Ovis aries: one gene and its partner. Each later gene encodes a partner of the first gene's protein in a complex. Links are inferred from orthologs where the notes say so. Each region holds a gene or a part of one and is shown on either strand. Other genes may lie near its edges.

The links.
Region 2: UPF3B (region 1) and MAGOHB share a complex: the UniProt entries of both Homo sapiens proteins name them as parts of the mRNA splicing-dependent exon junction complex. The link is inferred for Ovis aries from reciprocal best matches to the Homo sapiens genes UPF3B and MAGOHB.

What each region holds. Positions count from the first base shown.
Region 1 is NC_056080.1:114,667,641-114,672,199, forward strand, and holds the start of UPF3B (regulator of nonsense transcripts 3B), read left to right. Parts: upstream 1-1,515; 5' UTR 1,516-1,615; coding exon 1,616-1,771; intron 1,772-2,528; exon of another isoform or gene 2,529-2,578; intron 2,579-2,632; coding exon 2,633-2,739; intron 2,740-2,901; coding exon 2,902-3,008; intron 3,009-4,559. UniProt on the Homo sapiens protein: Involved in nonsense-mediated decay (NMD) of mRNAs containing premature stop codons by associating with the nuclear exon junction complex (EJC) and serving as link between the EJC core and NMD machinery.
Region 2 is NC_056056.1:204,670,934-204,674,751, reverse strand, and holds part of MAGOHB (protein mago nashi homolog 2), read right to left. Parts: intron 3,753-3,818; coding exon 3,642-3,752; intron 1,550-3,641; coding exon 1,467-1,549; intron 726-1,466; coding exon 626-725; 3' UTR 1-625. UniProt on the Homo sapiens protein: Required for pre-mRNA splicing as component of the spliceosome. Plays a redundant role with MAGOH in the exon junction complex and in the nonsense-mediated decay (NMD) pathway.

The DNA of each region.
Region 1 (4,559 bases):
GTGTCATCTGCATATCTGAGGTTATTGATATTTCTCCCGGCAATCTTGATTCCAGCTTGTGGTTCATCCAGCCCAGTGTTTCTCATGATGTAGTTTTCATATAAGTTAAATAAGCAAGGTGACAATATACAGCTTTGACTACTCCTTTCCCAATTTGGAACCAGTCTGTTGTTCGATTCCAGTTCTAATTGTTGCTTCCTGACCCGCATGCAGATTTCTCAAGAGGCAGGTCAGGTGGTCTGGTATTCCTATCTCTTTAAGAATTTTCTCTCACTAGTTTTACCTTGTCTGGAATTTCGTATCAATGAGATCATACAGCATGTACTCTTTGTGTTCTGTTTCTTTCACTCAGCATGACCATTTTGAGATTCATTCATGTGGATGGATGGATGGGTTCATTTGTAATTAAGTAGTATTTCATTCCAGAGAAGGCAATGGCACCCCACTCCAGTACTCTTGCCTGGAAAGTCCCATGGACGGAGGAGCCTGGTGGGCGGCAGTCCATGGGGTCAGGAAGAGTCAGACACCACTGAGTGACTTCACTTTCCCTTTTCACTTTCATGCATTGGAGAAGGAAATGGCAACCCACTCCAGTGTTCTTGCCGGGAGAATCCCAGGGACGGGGGAGCCTGGTGGGCTGCCATCCATGGGGTCGCACAGAGTCGGACACGACTGAAGCGACTTAGCAGCAGCAGCAGCAGTATTTCATTCTATGGATGTGCCACATTTTGTTTATGCATTAGTGGATTGACAGACATTTGGGTTGTTCCAGTTTGGAGATATTATAAATAATGCATAACTGGCCTTTTTAAAAGCTGGAAGGAGGTCAATCCTATCTAAAGTGAGTTGGATTTTATTTTCTCCTACCTACAGGGCATCAGTACCATGATAGATTCCTATTAACTTTTAAAAAGAGCGGTGAAAACAAATCTCACACATTTTGGTCATAATACTCCTTTAAATGTCAGTGTTTTGTGCATTGAGTGTCTGTGAATCCTAAAAAATATAAGGAAAAGAAATTCTAAAGGTTCTGAAAGCTCACTTTACAACCAATAATAGAAAATACAAGTCGTTCGTGAGGTAAACTTTGGATAACATCGATTTTATCTCTGGAAAACGAAGCCCACAGAGTGTATCTTTCTTTTTTTTTTTTAGAGTGTATCTTTCGATCTGAAAAACATTAACCTTTCAAGATTAAACTTTCCATTTACTTATAAACAGGGAACCTGAAATACTACGACTTCAGAACTCAGCCAGAAGCGGGTAACCGCTTTGAATGCCGGGATTTGTAGTCCGTGAAATACTCGTCCTAACCAAGATGGCGGATATGCTAATGAGCGGCCCCGAGGGAGTCTGGGCCGCGAGGGGATTGGGCGATGCGGGGATTCCGCGGGAGGGAAGCTAAGACCAGGTGTTACAACCTTTCCAGCGAAGGAAGCCGGATGCCCTGAAGTCTCGCGAGATCCTGCCGGGGCCCAATGGAGCGTTGGGGTCGGCTTATCACTAGGAGAGCTTGTTGGGGGCGGAGCTCTGCCCTGAGCGGGCCGGGAGGCGTAGGTGCCCGGCGTAGCGGCGTTTAGGCCGAGCTACCGCGGTGAGGAGCGAAGCTGTGGCCATGAAGGAGGAGAAGGAGCACAGGCCTAAGGAGAAGCGAGTAACCCTCTTGACTCCTCCAGGTGCTACAGGCAGCGGCGGTGGGGCTTCGGGAGACAGCACCAAAGGGGAAGATAAGCAGGATCGGAACAAGGAGAAGAAAGAGGCGTTGAGCAAGGTGTCTGGCCGGCTGTTGGCCCAGGAGAGGGCGGGACGGTTCCACCACCCGAGAAAGATGGTTGGGAATGGGGCTGCCCTCTTCCTCTCCCAATCTCTTCCTCTGTTTCTTCACTTGAGTGAAAATCGCATCACCCTGTCTCATCCACTCTCCCAAAATGGGGGTTCCCTTCCCGGCAGAGCTCCGGGATGGGAGTGAGGGAGGGCGGGGGGATTCCCTGACTGGAAGGGTTTAGGTCAGAGCCGTGAGATGATGATGGGAGGGGGGGGCGATAGCGAAAAGGATGAGGAATTGAGGGGGAATTATTAAACAGAAAGGTGCTATCACCAGCGGGAGTAGTACGTGATAGGAATATTAACAGGTTAGTTGAGGGAATGGGTGGGTGGCGGCTATTAATGGTCTTGGGCCAAATCGGGTACATTCTGTTCGGGGAGCAGTGAGGGAATTGGGGGTATTTCTTAGAATTTTGAATTCTTTATGCTGACTGAATAAGGACTTTATCAATCAAGAATTCCTGGCACCCACAAAAGACCAGGGTTGGTTTACAAATTTCTTACCACTACTGAAAAATGGGTGACAGAAAATGAGGCGAAAACCTAGTAAACCGTGGGGCTTCGGGTTAACAGAACCTAAGATTTCCTTGCTCCAGGCAGTTCTCGTTTCTGAGAGTTTTTTTTTTTTTTTTTTTTTAAACTATGTTACTGTTAACGTTTGACTAATCGTTCTGAGCGTTCTGAACATTCTCTTGGGTTTTTAGAAGTGATCTCATCTTTTAAAGGCCAACTTTCTTCAGGAACAGTGATTCAGGTATGACAGAAAATTGATTTGTACTAATTTTATTTTCCTTATTCATTTCTTAAGGTGGTAATTCGGAGATTACCGCCCACTTTGACCAAGGAGCAGCTTCAGGAACATCTTCAGCCTATGCCTGAGCATGATTATTTTGAGTTTTTTTCTAATGATACTAGGTAAAATAAGAGGGAGGGGTAAATGAAAAAGGTTTCTTCCATTCTTTTTTTTAATCCTACTCATGATTTCTATTTTATTTTTGAGCCTTTTTAATATATGCATACTTGTAATTCAGCCAGACACCTGCAAGCACATTCACATAATTGCTTTCCTTCCTGCAGTTTGTATCCTCATATGTATGCAAGAGCATACATCAACTTTAAAAACCAAGAGGACATTATTTTGTTCAGGGATCGTTTTGATGGTTATGTATTCCTTGACAATAAAGGTGAGTCCTTTTAACTGAAGGGGAGTTTGTCATTTGTTTAAGACAGTGTATCCCTGTTCTCTTGATGCCTTCATAGTGTTTCTGAAATCCTGAGTGATAAGATGAGCAACATTTAAAGAGTTTTATGCATTTGATAAGCTTATGACAGCCTTATAAATAGATAATATGAGGTTTTACAGGTATTTGTATTAACCTATTATTTCTCTAGTTTGTCAACCAAAGGAAATTGCCACTGTTTTCTCCTCCTGTGACAGTTCTTTTGCCCTGTTTTAGGTGATCCGTTGTCTTGAGTATTTACTAGTTTTAAGTGATACTGACAAGTGACTCTTTAAACTTGTATGACAAGTTTTAAATATTTACTTCTCATCTTGCTTCAAGGACCAATACTTATTTAATTCAGATCCTTTATGTCAATAGTTGCCAGTTGGAGTACTGTTTAACATTCTAAGTTGTATGTAATTAAACCACTGAGCTTGATGATTTCCCACTTCCTATCCAGGAGTTTATAGGGAAGAAAAACTTCTGCATTAACCCTCATTTTATTATTTGTTGCTTGCAACATTTAGCCAGAGAATGTCCAAGTCTGGCTACTTTTGCTACTAAGTTTGCTACTTTTCTTTTGGCTATGCAATATTGAATGATGTGTGTTTTTGTTAGATTATATTTTTTCAATATTACTTCAGAGTTGGTAAAAAATGAAATCTTTGTCAGGGAATATGCCAGTAAAAGTTGAAGAATTGCCTCTATGTTTGTCCAGTTTTTATTAATCCCCCCAAACCAGCTACTTTTCTGCTCCACAAATTTATTCCAGTAGATAGCAAATGGTTTCCTGAAAATCTGAGTTGTGTTTAACTTTTTCCTCTCTTTATCCCTTACATTTAAACAAGTGATGGATTTTGTCAATTTATTGCTTTTTAATATCTTGTTCATCTAGACTGAGGACGTTAGACTTACTGATACTTTCACATGTCCTCATCACCTAATGCTTAGACAACCACTCTCTCTAAACTTATAGAATTTTCCATTTTCTGTATAATTTAGTCTTACTTTGCCATGAAAATAATCTTTTTGAAGATAGTGACTTAAGACAGCAGTTGTGGGAAAAAAGTCCAAATTCCTTAGGTAGACAAAATGTTTTCATCACTTCAGAAAGAATCCTGTATTCATTAGCAGTCATCTCCCATTGTTTGGCCTCACTTCTAATTTTTTTTTTTTTTGCCTATATTCCACAATTTCCTTTTGCTTCGGTCTGGTTTATCTATTCCTTTTCAGGTATATCAGTTATTAAGGTAATATGATTCTGCACTCACTAGGATTTCTAAAATCTTGTTTCCTCTGTGACTGCTTTGTGATATCTAATGGTCAGTTCTAGTAATTTATCCTGGCTTATGTTTACACACCAAAGGTGTAAAGATGGTATTTTATACCTTCTATTACATTATTCTATAGCAAGGATTTGATGTATTTTTCCAGTAGTCACTTAGGTTTTTAAAAAATTATTATTGAGATATAACTCATACCATAAAATTCAGTGGTTTTTAGTATATTCAC
Region 2 (3,818 bases), on another chromosome or scaffold:
ATACGGGAATAGGCACATAATAAAAGATGTGTCTAACTTTGGATACTGACTTTACCTTTGTAACCTTGAGGAAATCACTGCTTACACAAAAACACTGAAATGTGAATAACCCCTAAGGAGTTTGTGACAAACACAAAAAATCCAAAAGCTTCTATAAACAACTTTTATGAGCACCAAAAACTTAAATTTGGTCAGGTGTGGCAGAAACAAGGGGAGATCTACAACTGCTTTTAAGCAGATGGGAATCTGGCTATATGTTTCTACATATAAGACCTTCTGTCATAGGATACACCTTCTAGAACAATTTTCATCTTTAAAATGAATCAGAGATCTGGCCTCCGGAAGGACCAAAAGCACTCTCCATCCAGGCTGTGATGTTTTATTGGAGCAAAATTTCAACAAAAGGTGGCTTTTATTTACAGAGTTTAATGTGTGCGGTGACTGCTTAACCCACTTGGACTCAAGTGAAGATAACAGTTAAGCCTGCTTAGATATTGTCTTGTTTTCAATTTGCATACAAAAAAGTTTGCTTCACATTCATAAAACCCCCAATATTATAAATGAACAAATCCTCCCTCACCCACCCCTTAATTAAATATAAACCCAGTTTCAAAACACATATAGTTTAGATTGGTTTAATCTTGAAATGTAATCCAATAAGACTAAACACTAAACACTTCAGGTCCTGTACCAAATAGTAAAATACTCGAAGGCCTTCAGGATCCCTAAAATTTAAAAGATAAAAGTTAGTTTTTTATTCCAAGAATGAAACAACATAATAATATAAGTTAATTCTTAAAACAGAGACCAAAAACCAAAAAAAATTAAAGGAACTGAGGAGAAAGGATTTTCTGATAACTATTAATATAACTGATATACTGGACAATTTCTATCTTTATCTTTTCTCTGAACTTTTCTCTGAAATTCCTCTCTCTCTTTTACACTGAAACCAGTTAAGCAAACAAGTTAAGTTATTATAAGTTACGCTGATAAGAAAATAACACTAGGAGAACATTTTGAGGGGAAAGAGTGGAAAGCAGTAGAAGGAGGCAGAGAGCTTTTTCAGATAATAGTAAGAGGTATCTGTCACACACAGAGCTTGGGAAGGCACATATGGCTACAGCCATACTTAAGCTATATCAGGCTTTTCTCCATTTCTTTCAAGTATTAAACCCAAGGAGGCAAATGATGTCATATGGAACTAATAAGGCTGAGAAATTCAAGAAGATTTCTTTTAAACTCTGTGGGGCTGCATCCAGACTAATTTTGGGAATCAGTAAAATATACTGTTAACTTCTTTGATAATAAGTCTTTACTAATATAAAAATGAGGATTACATATACATAATAAATTGCTACAGGATACAATTAATCTCATCAAACTGGCTATGGTTCTAAAATAAGCCTAATAAATCATGTCAATTTAGTCAAAATGCTTTAACTTTTATTAATGCTTTTAATACTCACTTTGACTGATTGACATCAATAAGAGAACCTATTTTTGATGTGGTAAAAGAAATGTGTTCATCTCCAATTACAATTTCAAGCTCCTGAAAAAAATAAAACAGAGAAATGTAGTTAGTGTAAAAATTCACCTCTTACAACCAAGAGGTCCTGATTTTAGCTGCAAGTTTTCTAGCCGTAATAGAGGAGGGGGTAAAAATAAAAAAGAAACAATTTGTTAACTATGTCTGTAAAGTAAAAATCTCAACTCCTCAGAGTTCCCCAGTATTAGGATGAATCAAGAACTGCTTTCCAGAGATCTGACAAAGAAGATGCTATCAAATGAATGATAGACTTCAGAGGCACACAGAAATAGTGATGTCAATAAAAACTAAGAATATGGGTTTAAGCCTATTTTTAATATAATAAATACAAATACATTTATCCTTTCTACCAGGCTCTACAAATAAACTGCATAATGCTAATAATAGCACTATTTAGCACCTACTGTGTATCAGACCTGCTGATAGGGACTTTAAAAACATGTTCTTTGTAATCCCCAAAACTGGGCTAATAAAGCCTGTCTTTCTCAGGTCAGCTTTATTGCCTGATTTTACAAATATAAAGCCCAAGACTCAAAAGCAAGATAAAAAAAAAAAACTGTTTGTATTTACAACCACTAATATGTGATGGTACTAATATTTAACTCTTGGATTGTAAAACTGAAAGATTTGTGTACAAAATTAAGTATAAATTTTTCTCCACATTTTATCTGCAAATCTAAAATGAAAAATTAAGAGGCTATGTCTGTATTAAGTTTTCAGTTTAAATTAACAGATGCCATTAAAGACATTCCCAGATCTGTATTTGATCAGAAAAGATCTAATTATGCCCCTTTATGGCACACACACAGAATGGATAATTAACTAAGACTCTCAAGCAATCAAAATCTTTGACCTAAAGATCCAAGAGACAACTTCAACGGCAGAAGTAATCCTCCCCATTATCCAAAACACATGAACACATGATCAAGTGGGTAGATGAAAACACTGCTCTCTCCTTGAGTCTAAGAGATAAATAAAAGGTTTGCTGCTATTGTTTCTGATTTTTAATGCCTATATATATATATGTGTGTCTAAAACAAATGGAAATTTAAATTTACTTCTTAAAAGTGTTCACAGTGAATACAATAAATACTGTTAACTATTACCTTTGCTTTCCTAAATAATGTTTCTTTAAATAGAAGCGTTAAGTTACTGCTACAGAGCATCAGCATCTATTCTCCACATTTTCTTCTAGTCAAAGAAGTTGTTATAGAGTATAATCCTCAGGAACACACAAAAGCGAAATTAAGTGTTTCTTCCTCCTGCAGTCATATCTCATTCTTCCAGCAGTTGAAAAGACCCAATTCAGAAATCAAACTGTCTTTCTACAGAGTGAAATCAGGCCTTCAGAGCTCTTCAGCAGCTCTTTGAGAAATATCAATTTTTCTGAAGGGAATATGACAGGCAAAGGCAATGGTCAGTTTGAACAAAGAAACCAATCAAATCTCTCTGGAGTGTAAAGAAGCAAATACGAATTTTCAAAGTTATATATCTGGAGAAAGTGAATTTTACATAGTGAGAATCCTAATTCTCAAATTCATCAAACATTTGAGTTTTTTCCTACCTATTTTTATTATTTATTATCATTGGGCTTCCCAAGTGGTGCCAGTGGTAAAGAATCTGCCTGCCAGTGCCGGAGATGCAAGAGACACAGCTTTGGCTTTGACCCCTGGGTCAGGAAGATTCCCTGGAGGAGGAAATGGCAGCCCACTATAGTATTCTTGCCTGGAAAATCCCATGGACAGAGGAGCCTGGTGGATTACAGTTCATCAGGCAAGAACTCATTAGTCCTTATAAAAGTACTTAACCTATAATGGAAATTAATTCTAATACTGTGAAAACACCCTAAGGTTAGCTGCGGTGGCTGCAGAGAAGACTGTTCAGAAAGATGTCTAAACTGACTCCTTTATTACTAGGAGGTAGCTCACAAATTGATGCAAAGTGAAATACAATTATAAACCATTTACCAGGTGCCTACTAGATGAAAAAAATCCAAGATTCAATGAGGATCTATTCTAGATAAATAAGGAGAACCACAACAATTCTATTAATAATGTTTACAATTTATGCATTTAAAGAATTATTAAATACAAACCTGTCGGCCAACCCTGTCAGGGGGAGGCCACAAAGCATCATCTTCTTTTGTAATTTCACTGTCATCAATAATTCTCTTCAGTTCTTCCATGACACTCTTGTGTACATAAGCCTGATAGCAAGTAATAAAAATGTTAGGGTCTATGTCTTGACACAACTTAGACAGAAATAATAAAAC